3 linked regions of the Neodiprion lecontei genome follow. The protein of the gene in region 2 purifies or fractionates together with the protein of the main gene of each other region. This does not show direct contact. Links are inferred from orthologs where the notes say so. Each region holds a gene or a part of one and is shown on either strand. Other genes may lie near its edges. The genes, in order: PHD finger-like domain-containing protein 5A, splicing factor 3B subunit 4 and ATP-dependent RNA helicase DDX42.

The links.
Region 1: the proteins of splicing factor 3B subunit 4 (region 2) and PHD finger-like domain-containing protein 5A purify together in Homo sapiens (affinity purification with mass spectrometry; 6 studies listed by BioGRID and IntAct, with this or other methods). This does not show direct contact. The link is inferred for Neodiprion lecontei from reciprocal best matches to the Homo sapiens genes SF3B4 and PHF5A.
Region 3: the proteins of splicing factor 3B subunit 4 (region 2) and ATP-dependent RNA helicase DDX42 purify together in Homo sapiens (affinity purification with mass spectrometry; 3 studies listed by BioGRID and IntAct, with this or other methods). This does not show direct contact. The link is inferred for Neodiprion lecontei from reciprocal best matches to the Homo sapiens genes SF3B4 and DDX42.

What each region holds. Positions count from the first base shown.
Region 1 is NC_060261.1:2,319,532-2,325,311, reverse strand, and holds PHD finger-like domain-containing protein 5A, read right to left. Parts: upstream 3,179-5,780; 5' UTR 2,932-3,178; coding exon 2,880-2,931; intron 2,603-2,879; coding exon 2,412-2,602; intron 2,340-2,411; coding exon 2,250-2,339; 3' UTR 1,616-2,249; downstream 1-1,615. Other genes in the region: MAGUK p55 subfamily member 7, read left to right, coding at 4,041-4,065, 4,558-4,844, 5,115-5,246, 5,437-5,463.
Region 2 is NC_060261.1:8,362,495-8,368,700, reverse strand, and holds splicing factor 3B subunit 4, read right to left. Parts: upstream 3,578-6,206; 5' UTR 3,468-3,577; coding exon 3,434-3,467; intron 3,137-3,433; coding exon 3,053-3,136; intron 2,939-3,052; coding exon 2,664-2,938; intron 2,564-2,663; coding exon 1,712-2,563; 3' UTR 1,641-1,711; downstream 1-1,640. Other genes in the region: uncharacterized protein LOC107218135, read right to left, coding at 418-621; testis-expressed protein 2, read left to right, coding at 4,284-4,335, 4,569-5,805, 5,935-6,204. UniProt on the Homo sapiens protein: Component of the 17S U2 SnRNP complex of the spliceosome, a large ribonucleoprotein complex that removes introns from transcribed pre-mRNAs.
Region 3 is NC_060261.1:42,759,407-42,765,867, forward strand, and holds the start of ATP-dependent RNA helicase DDX42, read right to left. Parts: upstream 3,629-6,461; 5' UTR 3,461-3,628; intron 3,251-3,460; 5' UTR 3,242-3,250; coding exon 3,027-3,241; intron 2,926-3,026; coding exon 2,653-2,925; intron 2,533-2,652; coding exon 1,992-2,532; intron 1,900-1,991; coding exon 1,671-1,899; intron 1,574-1,670; coding exon 1,299-1,573; intron 1,208-1,298; coding exon 1,057-1,207; intron 878-1,056; coding exon 537-877; intron 471-536; coding exon 342-470; intron 262-341; coding exon 55-261; 3' UTR 1-54. UniProt on the Homo sapiens protein: ATP-dependent RNA helicase that binds to partially double-stranded RNAs (dsRNAs) in order to unwind RNA secondary structures. Unwinding is promoted in the presence of single-strand binding proteins.

The sequences.
Region 1 (5,780 bases), about 6.0 Mb from region 2:
AGAATTAATTTCGAGAGAATGAATTCTGTTTTGGAATAAATTTTGGTAGGAACCTATGGCCCTCCCGCCCCGTCCAGACGTTATGCTTACACAATGAGATTGATGTCGATGTTATAATACGAAATAATAGCATTTCAATGTAGAAAAGTCCTGTAATTATAATTTTATCGTCTTTTATTAATTGTTGTAGAAACAATTACTAATGGTGCTGGTGTAGAAAAAACCCCATCAAGTAAACATAAAAATGTATCGCTTGGCGTTAAAATATGTAGATTATTAAAATTAGTTCGCTTGTAAGATTATTTTTCTTTTTTTTTTTCTTCATCGCAATCGTCCAATAGCGTGAATTTTCTTTTTTCCTTTCTAATAAGTTTAATACTCTTAATATGAGGGATATTGAATTAAATTAACACTTGGCCAATTTCACGGTCAGTTTAATAAGAACTAAATATAAATGTTAGGATCCTAAAAAATATTGGATTTTAGAATCTCATATTTGTCATTAGCGTAAAGTTTATATGTAAACAAGTACAGACGTAGGGTAATATTGCTTACGTCTTACTGTCCTCAGAAGTAAAATTCAATAGCTGCAATGATGTTTAAATACAGAGAAAAGATTTCAAGTATTTGCTCTTTACGATTAATCAAATTTTTTGATAAGTATATCGTATGACCAATCGAATGGCTTTGTGTATTGCTAAGAATTAGCTTACGCGGCACCCATCGATCTTTAACATGTAGAATAGTGAATTTGTGAATAGTAAAAAGAGCGATTATTACAATGATAATAACCGATGATCACGTCGGTTGTTAATCATAAATTACAGCTGAGAAGTACAATACTGAAAACTAACCATCTCATGCATGTTAGCGATGATAGATTAATTGATTAGTGTTTAAAGTAAAGAAAAATATATATATAGGTATATATGTATACCAAAAAAGAGAAAAAAAAATAGTCGATCAAAGTTATATCGAATTTTCAGTAGGTTATGAATTGCAAGTAGTTGGTCTATCACTCGTGGTTTATCATTGTAAAAACTTTAATTCTCTTCTCTAATAATTTTACTGACAATACCGTCTACTAGAAAATGACTTGATAAGAAATAACTAATGCAGCTCAACAGTATTGAATATTGGCCAAATAGGGTAATATTTTACCAAATAAGTTTGTGCCCAAGTTAAAGTGAATTGAATCAACGATATGAAATGAATTTCAACAGCTTTATTATTAAACTTACATATTTCCCTAAGTATAAGGGTAGAAATAATCGGTATTGGTTTCAAAGTTTCGATTGATATTTATCGAACAAAGATTAGAATAAAAGTGTTCATATTCTCAGTTAAATAGCCTGACGAATACAAATATAATACGACACATATGACTTTCAACAATGTTAGTAAAACTGTTAGAAAATGTTTAATAATTGGTACAGGTAACTGAAATTGTTACTAAATAAACTATTGGATTGTAATAGTCATACGCTAAGTCAGACACTGTAGCAGAAGAGTAATGCAAGTGGAATCGCCTAGAGAATTGAAAATTTGAATATTTTATGCAGTCTTTTTAAACAGTTATGTATTTCTAAAAAACATGGCTTTTTGCAAATGTAAGTACAGTCTTTTGGAAAAACCTCTTTGCAGAAGTTCTCTCATATATAATACTTGTGAAACGGTGAAAGACAAGTTTTTCTTTAGCAAAAATCGTGCCCTCAAAATTGCGTGCCAAAATGTAACGTCTGTGTTAATAAAGATTGTTTGATCTGCGTGCATTATTCTTCTAACACTATTTCTTTAGATATGTGGTTTTAAACGTATTCAAAAACTTTAAAGTACGTTGTGTGCAAATATAACGTAAAAGGACGAAAACAAATTGTAAAAAAAATTAGGAAAACATAATTCATTCGTAGAATAATGTTGATGACAAATGAATAGAGCTATATTTAAATAAAAATCAAATATAACTTTTCACGATCAACTTTCATTTTCCAATTATCCCTTGTCTAAATCCAAATCTCTGCAGGGGATCGACGGACAGGAAATGTAATTAGGAATCGGTCCAATGATTTTGCCTGTCGTTGCCTCGTCATAAATAAGAATAAAGACGAAATACAGATGTACGAATATAATTCAACCGTTTATTATAAAAACACAGAACGCAATGTTCCATCCTCATTCATTCTCATTTCACACATCATAACTTACAGATACCGAGATGTTGTAGTCTATACTTATACACATAATTACATCTATCGTCGTTTAAATCCATACTTTTTCCTTTCGTAGAATAGATCCGTTTTCGAACTTCCCAGGTTTACAATTTTCGGGCACCCGTCTCTCTGTCGTAAATATTTAAAGAATTAGCATTTTCAGCGTCGCCAATTTGAATCTATGATAACGATCTTACGTACATCTTTTTCTTGAATTGTACATTCTTTGCAGTAATATGCATCAGATACACCGGGTCCTCCGCAGATAACGCAACGGCCTTGGTAAGATCCGTAATTACATTCGTCACAAATTCGTACCAGTGTACAAGGCCTCACATACGAGTCGCAGATTACACATTTTCCATCACACTTTTCACATAATCGACCAATAGCTGGAGACGGAAAATTCAAATTGTTTGTAGAAAATTATTCACAGGTGAAGCCAGGTTGGCTAGGGTGATGTTAGGTTATGTCAACTTGTAGAATCGGCAGAATGAACCATGAAGTAATATTTTCAAGGTCGCAGTTTCGAAAACGATAATACCAGTAGCCATACGTGTTTCACGAGCTATTATTAGCAATGAAATAAGTCATAAAATCTCGAAACGAGCGGAGATAGTAATGATCAGCATTGCGATCAAGTCTTACGCTATTTTTCAAACAACTTACCAACGCCCGGCTGTTTCCTACAAAATATCAAATCTGGATGATGCTTAGCCATGCTTTGGAATGATTAGCGTCCTTCGGATACCTCAGAATACTTAAATTATTTTGTCAATATCAACTTGCAACTTTTCAAAAAGGCCGACCTTACCGAAAACGGATGTATCGGTATCAAATTAATTTTCAACATCGGTACCTTCACCCGCCACTAGAGGGTACATTTTCAAACGCAAATACAAGGAATTTGAAATTTAAACTTGCTATGATTATTGAAATGAAAGATTAAACGAAACGTAGATGGAATTGAGACAAACGTTATATTCCCGTATTTCACACAAATAATCAAACTATCAGAGAGAGCGAGAGAGAGAGAACTGAAAGCACAAGTCTTCTATTTCGTTTATGCTCTCTCTCATTTAGACACATTCGGTAATCCACATCATGCGTTTCGAAATCAGCCCCCGGTGCTGTCAACTATCTTACGTCGTTTTTCGCTATAGAGTTCGTAGCTGGTTTTAGTCCTAGGGAGTTTTCAGCGCTGCCAGTTAGTTTTGGAACGCACTCATAAATTGTCATAGACTATTGACTGAAGACTGGACGGCTATGCTAACAAGATTTTGTGTACTTATGTGATTATGTGATAAAAGGCCTCCGCCGATAAAGAAGCTTCAGATCACTCCAATTCCACTTGCTGAGTATTGGTCACAAAAATTTATCCAAGGGTAACAGATTTAAATTCTTCAGTCAACGCAGACTCACTCACTCACCCCCTCGCACCCAAATTCAGAATATATTCGCTGATGGATCCGCAGTGACCAGTGACAATCAGATTAGAGGGAATAATTCAGACAGCTGCAATCCTCGGATGCACGAATTTACCAATCCAAGTACCAGAATTAGCTTCCTCGTAGCGCGTTCGCTGACTGCAGTTTGGCATTATTTGGCATGTTAGAGCACAGTGCGAAGTGTCGGTCGTGTGCGTATTTTTGGACATCGCGCGTATTTACGCGTACGTATTATGTACGTGAGAAAAAAGTAGTAAGGCTTCAACTCGGAGGGAAGGAATAGGGTGATATTCGACCGTAGTAAATTTTGTATCATTTCTCAATCCTGCCCTCTTTATTGCGCGAACGATTTCGGGGTGAATGACGGGTCGCAAGTCCCGTAATGGATAATTCTAATTGGGATGCAGGTGAGTCTTTAAATTATTTCGTTATTTCTACCCCTTGATAATTTGTTCTGGTTTCACGACATTGGCTGAAAATGTGTTGAAGAATTGAATATTTTCACCACGGTATGCAATTTTCATGTAAAGAATCACCGAAAGTCAATGAAAAATATCTGCGCTACATTAGTCAGTTTTATTTGTATATAGATTTTTAATTGAAATTCTCTCGTAAGTAATTGTCTCAATTGGGTAGGACTTTTCAAATCAATTCTATTGACATTTTAAACCGTTCGTTCTAAACTAGAAGTAAGCAAAGCTGTGAAATCTTGTTGATCTTTCAAGCTGGACAGGTTCTCGAGTCCTTACATCAAACTTGTAAATAGACAATAACTATTTATAGAATAGTCTTGAAGCTCGGTTATACACAGTTTTTATGCTTATCTCCTATTTCTATTTCTCTGTACAGGTACTCATGCTGTATGGTATTAAATTTTAGGTTTTTCATTTCATTTTCAGCCTTATCAAAGCTTCTCAATTCACTGGAAGATAATAAGACTGAACTCCCAAGTTGCAGCGAGGAGGAGCTTAATTTTCTCAGTGAAATATTAAAGTCGAAGGAGCTTAACGCGTTGGTTAACGTTCACAACAAGATCATAAATCTCTCCAATGATGACAAATTCTTTCCTGTATTATCAAACTCCATGGACGTCAACATCGACGTTTTGGATGTACTTGTGCCAAAAACACGTGGATCCGCAGATTGCAAGCAACTATTTCTTTTATTACAGAACCGTCATATGCAGGTAAGAGAAGGAAATCAATGAAATTAAAAAATACAAGGAGAAATTTCAAATGAAAAATCTTTTCATTCTGCAATAATAATTTAATTTAGGGAGGAAAGAGATGATAGCAATTCAATTTCGATATATATCCTTCTTTTACAAATATCAAGTATCATGCTTGGAACAATTAAACGAACTTTCACGGATGAAACAAACTTATTCACGGCACTCATTTCGAACAAGCGACAAAAAGAAAAAAAGTTAAATCCATTCACACCCTTGGATTTTCAGGCTCTGCTATGCACTCATGACGCAGTTGCGAAAAAGGAATACTACCCAAAAATTCCTGAACTACCCCTGGAAGTTGACGAAGATGATGAAATCATAAAAATTGTGGAGCTTATTAAGTCCAACGAGCCCTTGGTACGTCTTACCGATCACATCAAATTTTCTAGGATTAATTTGGTTTTAAGAGACAGCATAGAGGGACAACAAGATTACTAGAGTTACGGCGAAGCATTGGCTTTTTTCCCCTTCCCAAGATAAATAAGAATCATCGAAAGGCCAATTGTATTAACGAATTTCTTTTATAATTGACAAACTTGCTTTGAAGTGCGGTCCTGGTGTTGAACCAATTGTGGTAAGTTTCTCATCGGGCTTTGAAGATTGGTTACTTTCATTGGCAAAACGTGAAAGAAAAAAAAAAAAAAAAGCAAAGAACAATAATGATGAAGAATCACATCCTTTCTCTCTATGCATTGAAATATGAATTAGCCAACTTTCCTATTTCCCTACTAAATTCGATTCCCGACCATTTTGGTGCCAAGTATCATTAGTTACCCCCAATAGTTATACCATAACCGAGCAAAGTTGAACCCTGTAAAGATTGTTTAAAAAATATTGCACGGTCACTAAATACTCGCGCTTCAACCGATGAGTCAAGTTCTCTGATTCCGC
Region 2 (6,206 bases):
ATCGCTGACCAAGCTGAGATGAGAAACGTAATTAACAGTTTCGGATGGAATACGTTTCGAATGATTGAATTTGCCTGTTGAAAGGTTTAAACTGTCATTTGAACTTATGGTCAAAGAAAAATAACAGCCATCGTAACTTCGGTTGATAGAAATTGATAATTCCTATGGTCATTGATGGAATAAATTTTTCTAGAATTTGTCACGCGGCTTTCATTCATCGGTTTAACATCGTCTCAAAAATTTTTCCACATTCAAGCGGGTTTGTAATTCTGGCGGGAAACTTTTTGAAATCCTTCCGATATGAATATCACAGACTCTCCGATGCTTGTGAAATGAATAATAAATTTTACAACCGTCATCAAGGTCGTTTCGTTGTATTATTAACTATATAATAATACAAAATAAACATTATCTTACCGATGTGAGCAGAAATAGAGCGAGCAAAGCGAGTCCGAGCCAAAAGTACCAGGCTTCCCAAAGCTGGCGAGTCGGTCTTCGCTGTACAAGGCAACATTGTGAGTTGCAGCAGTATTGCTTGTTGATTGTACAAAATATCGGACCACTGGCTGTGTAATTCTCACTACGCAGTCCGAAATTGCACTCGTATATCGGACGCGCCATTGTACGATTAAAATTACCTGCACTTACTTCAGACACGTTTGAGCAACATTGATACGGTCGTTTAATTTGTCACACAGAATTTTAAAATTAGCCACAAATTATTATACTCACTGATTGAGTCGTTTACACAGTGATAATTTATATCCGTGTACTTCACTTGCCACCGTAAAAACATATTATTAAAATACGAAGCGATCCTGTTTGATGGATAAATTTGAACCCCGGTGCATTAGCAAAAGTTCGAATCACTGTGCATTTTGTTTTGCATATAACGAAAGTTCCCGTGATTAACGACAGTAATCACCGTGCGATTGATGGCTGCTGATTTTATGGGAGTTTGTCGTGTTTAACTGGGGTGTTCGAACTTGCGCAACGCGCTTTAAATAGGGATAATCACCTCACGGTCAAAGCTTTGCAAGTTCGATCACAAGAAAGATGATTATTTGGCTCAGAGTCAATGTGCAACAGATGAAACGATCGTTTACCACGTGCCTCGTAAAACTGAACAAATTTTTAACATACCAGTTACGAATTAAGTTTACGTCGCGGAAAAGGACATGGCTACGATGGTAGTCTAGACGGCACAAATGCGAAATAATCGATGCGACGAATGTCCCTCGTACAATTTACGCCAGGTAGGTGCGGTCGATACTGACCAACTGACCGTACCAGGGTGCTAAGATAGTTCGAGCTGACTGTGGCGCATTTAAATCACTTGTTGCAAACGAGCAATGTTGCACAGTTCAAATTTGTACGATTCTAACGAATAATCGGGATGGAGGAGTGAAGTAAATTGGGATTTTCGAGTTCTTCGTTCTCCGTGTTCAGTATCATGTTTGCCGAAATTAGTTTACCTGTCTGCAACAAATAATTAAAATAAAAAAAAAATAATGCAAAAGCGTTGTGACATTTGACCGAAATCGTAGATTGGTGGAAAAAGTTTAAAAATCTTAAATTTCTAAAGAGGCACGACTATGTAACATAACTTCTTTTCTCTCGATCCAGCAAAAATATTAATATAATACAGATTTACATTTTATTCAATCAAGTCAATCATTTGTTATAAAACATTCAATTTATAAGTCCCAAATCAGTACTGTCCCGTTTCATGCGGAGGTGGTGGAGGTGGTGGGCCTCTCGGTGGGAATGGCGGCCTGAATTGCGGCGGCGGAGGGGGGGGAGGCCCTCCTTGCGAAGCAGGCGGAGGTGGTGGATGGCGCCACCCTGGAGGAGGTCTAGGCGGCGGTTGAAACTGTCCATACTGTGGTCCACCAGCACTGCCTGGGGGAGGCGGAGGAGGAAACTGGCCCTGTGGTCCCCAGTGTGGCGGAGGCGGCATCATGCGAGCAGCTTGCTGCTGCTGCGAGTTTGGTACAGGCATAGGAGGCAGAGGAGGTGGCATCCCTGGGGGAAGAGGGGGATGCGATTGGTGCATTCCTGACATCGGTGGTAATGGAGGAGGTGGAATGTTGGATGGAGGAAATCCTCCCGATGGTGGAGGAGGGACTGGAGGCGGGGGAGGGTGGTGATGGTGTCCCATCGGTGGCCCAGGAGTCGAGGGAGGCGGCGGGGGAGGAACGACCATTCCGTGATGATGGTGCATCATTCCGTGATGAGGATGATGCGGATGGTGCTGAACCTGGTGCGGCGGCATGTTGGGGTTCTGAGCCTGAGTCACTGGATTGAGAGGCGGTGCGTCCGCGAACAATTGATGCGGCCTGTCTGCTTGGCTTAGCGGATTTTGAGCTGCGAGTAGACGCTCTGCCGCACTTCCGTGACGCTCGCCCTTCGCGTCTCGCTTAAAGGCGTAGGACACGGAGATTGGACGGTTGCACAAGTACTGACCATTCATCGCCTCAATGCTAGCGTCTGATGCGTCAAATGATGCGAAATTTATAAAGGCAAACCCCTTTGAATTTCCTGTTTCTGGATCTCGCATTATCTGAAATATGGGTAATGCGGAGCGTTAATTATTCACGTTTCTTTTCGATATATGAGACGCAACAGCTTAATTACTGATAATTGAAAGCGACTTAACCTACCTTAGGTGTTTGGAGAATAACACCAAATGCACTAAACGTATCGTAGAGTAATTTTTCATCTACTTCTGGATCCAAGTTTCCAATAAAAATGTTTGCTCCTACGTCCAAATTCTTCTGATGGGCGCTAGCTTTATTTACTCTTATTGGTTTCCCGTACAGCTTGATCATGTTCATAATTTTGATCGCGTAATCTGCATCCTCCTCCCCCATAAATTCGACAAACCCATATCCCTGGTGCATTTGAGTCACTCTATCTTTTGGCATATGAACGTTAACTGAAACAGAAAGTTAGTTTTGAACAGCCAAGCATGAGACATAATTTAATGAAAATGATTCAGGTTTTTCTTATAATTTAATGGAAGAAAAAGACAATAGCAAACTTTTCTTACCGACGGGGCCAGATTGTACGAAGAGTTCCCACATGAGAGACTCCGTAACTTTGTCGTCAAGACCACCAACATAGATTGTAGCATCTGGAAATACGTCATATTCAGGTTATTTATTAGTCACAATTGACTTAAGAAATAATTATGCGCGACAATGAAGTAAAAATTAGGATTCCAGGCAACGTTCTTTCAAAAGTACTTCTAGCTACGAGATAACATAACCTAACATAACCTAAATCGTGCATTGTTCGTAACAGAAAATGTTGAGTTAAAGATGCGCAATTGAAAACTTATCCGCGATGTTTGTGAAATGCAAGAAATAGGTCTTTGAAACGAAACGACAATTGTTAATCTCCATTAATTTTCGTAAACATTATGAATTACCTTGATTTCTTTCGGCGATCGGACCGGCCGCCATCTTTCAAGCAACGCGTACGATTGACGTTACGATTTACTTGGCTGCTTAACTCGGCGTCGCTGTCTAGCTATGAAGTGAGCCAAAAATCGAGAGGCCATGATTGTCATTCGACAATCGATTTAAATGATTAAGTTTGTCCAAGCTTCGTCATTCCGACGTGTGACACGTGTGTGTATGGTGTGCGACGATGTGCGGTAGTAAACAGATATGATGTGAAATCTGCGCTATATCGCGAAGTAAATTGATTATTTTTCGCATAAAGGTAACTACTAACCGCGCGGAGAACTCCGACCAAACATTGCGTGATTGTAGGTGTAACTAATAGCATGACTCTGTTTTACGTTTGCCGAATAAATATGCCCAACGGGTAGGAATGCAGGTTCTTTATATTCCCAGTAGTGTAATATCTCTAATACGGAATAAAGTAAAAAATAAGAAATAGTCGGCTGTGCGTAGCGGGGAATCACAAGCTGTCTGCGCTTGTGAATGTGAAGTATAAAAATCCACCGGTACGACAAAATACGCACTTCGTAAATACTGCGTCGTTATAGTTTTTCATTAGAGTTTTCGATTATTGACACTTGTTTACCGCGAATATGTTGGAGCCAGTTTTAAAGTACGTTTATTACGCTGTTGCGGCAAGTTTCTGGAACACTTAACGCAATCCTTTGCAGTTGCTCGCGACACTTGCATCTGACAAGTGATAAGTAAAGAGAGAAGAAAATAAAATCGAAATTTTTGGGTTTGACACGAAACCGCTCGCTTGTTTCTAGCTTTACAACTATTGTCTGACCGCTTTTTAGTGGCTGTGGAAAAATGAGTTCCAAACCAACTACCCCTGGAAAGGTTACCCTGGGTATGCTGAAGGGTGAGATTCAATGTATTTGTCTGTCGAGACTAATTTTTATTTCGCTCTCTATTGCCTCTTGCAATGTTTATCAAATCTTTGGTACTTAATTCCTAGCATGACCAGCATTCGGTGTTTTATTTTCCACAAACCAGCCTCTACATACTTATTTTATTTCTAAACTAATGTAGCAATTACAATTTGTGCCAACAGCGTGACGACAATATGGTAGCTAATTGTTTTTGTTAAAACAGGTAAACCAATAATGACCTCGGTGCCGGTGATCCGGTATCATGCCAGTGACAATGAACTTGAGGAGCTTTACCCAAGCACAGATGACGACGAGTTGTACACTCCGGAGTCTGAGCACCCATCGACAAAATCTAGTCCATGTAAAACTAGTCGGAATAGATCTGAGGATGAATTGGGAGAAGGCACTAGTCTGGGCAGGCGATCGGCAAGCGTCGATGGAAATTTGTCGGAAGGCACACCACCCACCGATCCATGGAAGATGTTATCCGAAATCAAGGGAAAGATAACAAAAACTTTTGAGGAAAAAATTTCTGAGATTAAAAGCGAGAGGAAAAAGAAAAAACGCAGAAGCAAAGATAATTCTAGTGTTAGTGATTCCGAAGACTTGGCTGACATCACCCCAACTGAAGATAATCTTTCGGAACAACAGGAACTGGAGTCTTCATCCCCTGTAAAATTCAGTAAAAATCGTTCCGCCAGATTCACAGGATTCTATAACATTAAGACTGGTCTGAAGACAAAAAATTCTGAAGAGGATAGTGTTGAGAGTGGAGTAGAGGCTGCGGAGCTCGCCGAGGACGATTTGTTATCAAAATCTAATTTGGATGACAAAAATTTACAAGCTCAGCGAAGCTCGGATGGTAATAAAAAATTACAAACACCTCTGATCAGACTACCTTTGAATGCTATTGAGAAGCTTATTCCACAGCGAGTAAAGTCCGAACCTGCATTGACTCAACTTTTTAAGAAAATAATTTATCAGCTTATCAGCGTTCCCATAATACTTCTCGGCGCGTATCACGTTATTCCTTTGCCTGAATACATAGTTGGTCTCATTGCTGGAATATTTGTTACAATCACGATTCAAAGAGCGTTAGCTCTAGTAACTCAGACTTTAATGACACCTCAGAAGATTGAAGACGTCAGAAGCGGCGACGAGCAGGTCTCTGTTTTGGAAATACCTGCAGCAGAGGAGCATGTCGTTTTGGATCGATTTGAAGGGTGGCTAAATCAGCTGCCATACAGCTACGATCCTGACAATTACCACGTTGCTAGAACAGTTTCAGTTTACTTCAGATTAGAAGGAGGCAGCTTAAAGGTGATGGAAACTAAGACGCGAATACCAAAACGTGAAGTTTGGGACGAGCCAAAACAGAACGTTAGATACATTTGGAAGAAAGTCTACACGCTTGCTAATGCCACAATTAAACTACTTCCGGAAGGGCTGATAAGAAGAAGGTAACTTATCACAGCTGTGCCTATACAATCCCTGGTATTGTTTACTTTTTAATGTGAACCCTCTAATTTATCTTATTTCTTCTTCTCCGCACAGCTTAGAATATGAAATATGACGTTTCGTTGTTACAGGAGGTGGAGTAAAAAGTATCCAATCTGCATAACATTCGGTAAGGATGCTTTAATTGAGAGTTCTTCTTTAAATGAGACATCTGAGGATGAGATTCTTCAAAAAATTGGCGTTGATGAAGATGGCACCATTCATGAAGAGGATGAGACTGATGAAGATCTGTCTAAGGATTCAAAAGAAGCTAAAGATGTTTTTGAAGATTGCACCGACGAGAGTGGTCAGAGATCAAAGATGTACATTTTTGCACGAACAGACAGACAGAAGGAAGATTGGT
Region 3 (6,461 bases), about 34 Mb from region 2:
AATAATCGTAGATTTGGGCTCACTGATATGGCTTGGCAGCAATTTTAATCCGACTCACTCCCATCGACTCTTTCTGACCCTCCGCCTCTCTCCCGTTGCCGCAGAGTTAGAATTCTGATATTCCTGGCCCTCCGACTGCTCGCTGAGACCGGCGGCTGACGTAGGAGGTGAAGAAGAGGGTAGCATTGGCGGAGGCGGGGGCATCACGACAGATGCTGGCTGAATCGTTTGCTCCCACGTGTGATCCGAAGACGCACGGAACTATAACAAAAAACAAACAAATAATTAAATAATTTTCGAACGGTTCGGCAGGTGGCAGCGATTACAATATAAGATCATACCTGAGTGTTGTACTGGCTTTTGAAGGCAGCTTTCATCGCCGAGAGTCGATCGCTTCCCGGTCCATGTCTCTCCAATTTTTTGACTACTTCGCTGATGTCCTTCGATGCCGGATTCGAGGATCCGCCACTCTGTAGAATTGAAGATGAATTAACGGTGTACAAACGTGTACTTACAATTACGTGTTTGCAACAAACCTGTCCACTGTTTGTTCCATCGGACACTCGACCTCTGAACCCGAGTCCTGCACCACCGACGTTCAAGCTTTTGCCTTTTCCACCTTTAAATCTCGATTTTCGGAACCAGGCACTTTGCAAGGCCAGATCGAGCAGACCTTTCGGTACATCTTGATTCGCTCCCTCTAAATTTCTCACTAAATGACCAGCGAATTCTTTATCTTTGTCAGTGACCAGAGTGAACGCTGTTCCCTTTTCTCCTGCTCGACCTGTCCTTCCTATCCTGTGTGTGTGCGTGTCTATGTCGCGCGCCACATCGTAATTCAGTACCGTTTTTATGTGAGGGATATCCAAGCCACGAGCTGAAGTTAAGAGTATTGCGATAAATATACCATATAGAAAAACTTCAGACCACACGTCTGCTTTGTTCTCATAAAAGGTATCTCGACGTAAAAAATCAGGGGGAATTGCAAAATCAGTTGAGAGATTTCTTTGAATAGTAAATTTCAATATCGTTATTTCTGTCACAGATGTAGCTTACCTGCGACATCGGTAGCGACAAGTATACTTATTTCTTGTTTCTTGAAAGCAGTGATAACTTTGTTTCGTTCGATCTGGTCCATATCACCGTGCAACAGGAGAACATCGAATTCCTTCAATTTTAGATTGTTCGAGACCTCCTCAGCGTTTAGCTAAGATCAAAAATTGAAAAACGCTCAAAGATCGTAGCCTGTGTTTATTTGCCGTAACTGATTCTCGTTGGTTTATTATAATATTCCGCACCTTTTTAGTTACAAATATGAGTAGACTACCAGCGCTGAGAAATTCAACAATGTTATGCAGTAGCCAAGACCATTTGGCAGCAGGATTACTGTTGAACATGACAACGTGTTGCGTCACGTCTGTGTTAGCTTCTCCTACATCTCCTTGAACAATCCTTATAGGATCCGTGAGCACGTCACGCGCCAGTTTTTCAACCCTCTTCTTAAAAGTCGCACTGAACAGTAGCGTTTGTCTGTCTGGTCTGACATGGTTGCAAATCGACCTTACCTGTGGTTCTGAACATTGTATGTGATAAAAATGAGTTTGTTTGTACAGAACAGTAATGACTTTTGATGTTTCAATGTAAAGGATATCGCCTGGCTGCTCACTCACCAAAACCCATGTCAAACATTCTGTCAGCTTCGTCAAGCACGAGAAACGAAACTCTGGCCAAATTGGTAGCCTTCATCTTGACCAAATCGATCATTCGACCAGGAGTAGCAACGACTATTTCCGCACCTCCTTCCAAGGCTTTGCTTTGCTCCCATTTACTGCCACCTCCGTAGCAACAGCATACTTGTATGTTATATACCTTGCCAAATTTCTTAGCCTCTTGGTATATCTGCAAGAAGATAATTTTCCAGGTAATTATTAAAGTTTATAATTTGTCATTTTCTACAACTGACGGTAAATTATCGTTGCTACAAATTTTACCTGCTGTGATAATTCTCTGGTTGGCGCTAATATCAGACCGATTGGCCCATCGCCTGGCTTTAGTTCTTGCTGATCCATAATGTGCACCAACATCGGCCAAATAAACGCCGCTGTTTTTCCACTACCAGTTTTAGCAATTCCTATCAAATCCCGGCCACTCAGAGCAGCAGGTATTGCTTGTGCCTGAATGGGAGTCGGCTGAGTATACTCGTTTTTTCTAATCGACTTTATCAAAGCATCGTCGAATCCGAAATGTGCAAAGCTGGTGACTGGATTGGGCGCAGAAGGACCGGTCACTTTGATTCCCAAGGTCTGCCGTAAGTCCTCGACTTGCTGCTTGTTTAAATTTGCAATCTCCTCGTGTACATTATAGAAATTCTTTTCAAATGGTTCGTAGTTTATTTCACTGTGATCAATCGGAGGCAAGGGATCAATGTCCTTCTTTTTTGGTGGTGGTATTGGGTTCCCATCTTCGTCATACTCAATCTCCTGATCCGAGTCATCTTGCTGAAGCCCTGCTGTAGGGTTTTCTTCCATATATCTGAAAAACGAAATGCAGTCATTTTTATCACACCACTTTGAACTTTCTTGTGATTGTTTACAATATGGAATTTTTAGCGAATGGAAGACGTCGTATGCTTTTTTATAAATAAAATATTACTTGTAGTAACTCTCCTCGTCGTCTTCATCATCGATGTCAGTTCTGATTCCCTTGGATTTGTCTTCCATTCTCATCTCTTCAGCCAGCTCAGCTTCGAATGTATTCTTTTTAACTTCAGCGTCGATTCCAGCCATAAACGCGTCGAGTGGATCCTCGTCACTGTCACTTTCCTGTTTTCGATTGTCTTTCTTCATAAGTTCGTAGGTCGGAGAACCCGGCGCAGGGATATATTCCAATGAGGAAGTCGGCGCATCGTCATCATCCTCAAAATATCTGATTATGTAAATTGATTTTATAATCGACTTACTTTTTAAACTAAATCCTATCTGGGAAACTTCAATAATAATAGTAACTACCAACTGAACAACACTTACTCTTCCTCAGTTTTGCTTCGCTTTTTAGGTATCCCCCAGTTTGCAGATAGAGCGTTCTCGGTTATAGAATTCATTGTATGATAGCCTTGTTTGCTGAGAGTTGAGTTGTTCGGGGGTGGCGGAATGTTGACGCCGCTTCTCTTGGTTCCAGCCATCTGAAATCCAGCGAAGCCAAAGCCCTTTGGCTTGTTACCACCTCCCCGGTGGTAACTCATTTTTCAGTGCTATCATAAAATCGTTGTAAATACAAAGTCAACTTCAACTTGGTGTACGGTAAATATTTCAGGAAAGGATACCAAATAGCAAAACTGTATACTCAGCCCGGTTAGGTTAAGTACAAGGTTTACTCTACGAATGAAGCAAGAATGTAATTTCCCGCTATTCGACTAAGGGTGCCCATATAATTAATTGAAATTCTGTGGTACTTTACTCACATTAATCTGGCGATATTCGAATAAAATTACGATCACTGTTACATTTAACAATGGTAAGGTGGTCGATGGCACCGGACACTGGACGACCGAATTAACCTCTTTGCGAACGAGTGAATCTCGATGAATCTACAGACCGCCTGCAGCAGCACTGGTATAGAATAAAAATGTCCGAAATCACGCTACGAGCAGATAACAAAGTTCTCTTTCTCTCTTTCTAATAACGCATGCGCAATACGCCATCGCAGCTGACTATATTTAGACTTGGGGGCAATAGCAGTTTCACGTATTATCAACCAAATAACTAACCACATCGGTAAATGAAGTTCTTCATAACCAACAACTATCTATATTTTACAAAGGCGAGAAAATACGTAGATAAAAATGGGAAAGTAAAAACTGCACGCGAGTATGCGTACATGTATAAGTACGACTTGAAATAGCGATTGAAATGAAACTGTAGTAAGCGCGAGGTAATACTTTGATTTGAATCGTTACATCGCTACTTTGTCGGAACACGTAGTTATAATCTGTTATTCCGCATCGAAGGAAATTGAAATGAATATAGTTACACTTTGCACTGTAGTACATAACAAGAAGATAACCCGAGAATTTCTTTGCACGGATTTATAAAAGTTTGACTATTGCATTAAACGTATCGCCTGCCTCTTTTGGAAAGCAATCCTTGGGGATCACCCTTACCATATAAAAAGATCTTTTTTGGAATATTTAGTGTTACAAGTACGCGTGATAGAATTTTATTATTGTTAATTGAAAAGTGTGTCAACCCAAAAAGTACAGATACGTGGCTTTGGAATTTGGTATAGATGTCAAGAATAAGTAAACGATTGGTTGCAAAATCATCCGAAAACTTGGAGTCTTCTGTACCCCATGATCCATTGCTTATCTTTAAGAAAAATTATCAACGTTAGATATTACCACTGATATGTGGGAAACGTGTTTTTGTTTGCGGAATTATACGAAAAATATGAAAAACATCGAAAGCCTGCACTCTAAATATTACCCAAACCTCGATTCCAACTGATGCAATTTAAAATTCGAAAAATCTCCAAAGACTCCAGGAGTTTAGATGTGTAAATTCGTGATCTTGGAAACGGGTGAAGCAACACAGTTAACAGCAAATCGATCGTGTTATTCAACTCGATGCAATCAGTTTCAGAATTTTAGAATTTTTTTTCCCTTGACGTCATCGATCTATATAGACGAAAATCAGTTAGCCGAATTCCTCAGTCTGGTAACAACCGCGCAGTAGAGAGGACGTATGAGAATCGCGCTCCGCAGATTTCGAGTTCCGGGTTCTCTACCTCCTGGATCCTGCGCTCCGGGTCCGCTTCCTGATGCAACGCGAGTTCCAGGACAAGCGCTCCGTGGTCCCTGCGCTCCAGGTCCACTACCTGGTGAAACTCGACTTCCAGGACAACCGCTCCGTAGTTTCTGCGCTCAAGGTCCATTACCTGGTGAAACTCGACTTCAGGAACAAGCGCTCCGTACTTCCTGCGCTCCAGGTCCGCTACCTGGTGAAACTCGACTTCCAAGACAAGCGCTCCGTGGTTCTAGTGGTCCAGGTCCTTGACCTGGTAACGTTCGACCTTCAGGACTAATTTTCCGTAGATTTGGCTGTTGAGATCCTCCACCTGATGTTACTCGACTTCAGGACTAATTTTCCGTAGTTCTATCTGTCCAGGTCCTCCACCTGATGGATCTTGACATCCAGGAGAAGCGCTCCGTAGTTCTGGCTGTCCCGGTCCTTGACCTGGTAACGTTCGACCTTCAGGACTAATTTTCCGTAATTCTGGTTAAACCTGTCATGTTCACAATAAATTATTTCAATTCATTTTTCGTGCAAGCCCAAATTCATTAGCTATCAATGCGCTAGTAAAATTCCAATAATTTTTCATAATTTTCTCATAAACTTCTGGGTAAAATGTGACCTTAAAAAAATTACATTAATCCTTACACAATATTTTTGATGAGATCTAATACTTGTAATATTTATTAGTATTCGAGGTATAACCCGAGGTGGTCAGCGGTGGTCGTTGGTGGTGGTTGGAGGTAGTCGAGCTGGACGAGGAGAACAAGGTGGACAAGGAGGATGAGGATTTGTGCTCGGTGAGTTTAACATTTTTATAATATTTGATGAAGAAGGATCAGTATCAGGAGTAGGAATAGGAGTAGGATCAGAAGGAGGAGTAGGAGTAAGATCAGGAATAGAATCAGGAGTAGGAGTAGGAGTATGAGTAGGATCAGAAGTGGGATCGGGAGTAGAAGTAGGAGTAGGAATAGGATCAGGAGTAGGATTAGCAGTAGGATCAGGAGTAGGAGTAGGAGTAGGATCAGAGAAAGATGTAGAAATAGGAGTAGAAGTAGGAGTAGAAGTAGGAGAAGTAGTAGGAATAGGACTCGGAGTAGGAATAGGAGTAGAAGTAGTAACAGTAGGAGTAGTAGATCAGGAGTAGAAGTAGGAGTAGGAATAGGGTCAGGAGTAGGATTAGCAGTAGGATCAGGAGTAGGACTAGGAGTAGGATCAGAGAAAGATGTAGAAATAGGAGTAGAAGTAGAAGTAGAAGTAGGAGTAGTAGTAGGAATAGGACTCGGAGTAGGAATAGGAGTAGAAGTAGTAACAGTAGGAGTAGTAGTAGGATCAGGGGTAGAAGTAGGAGTAGGAATAGGATCAGAAGTAGGAGTAGAAGTAGACGCTAGAGGGGCAGCCTAGACAGAAATCGTACCTAAGTTAATTTTCAGGGTATTCCTCAAGGTGCGACGTCTTCAGAGGTACCGGCACGACTTGATCGGGCGTCTCGACGTCCGACGTTTCCCACTCTCCTTAGGGTTACCCCTTCCCTCCCTGTCGCGAGGCCTCCGTTACACGCGATTCTGGGTATTTTATGCTCCGTGCGTAGGCGTATGTTGATTTCGAGGCCAGTTCGGACGAGTAGAAAAAATCCAGAAAAATACAGTTTGGACGTGTAAATCGTATTAGTGT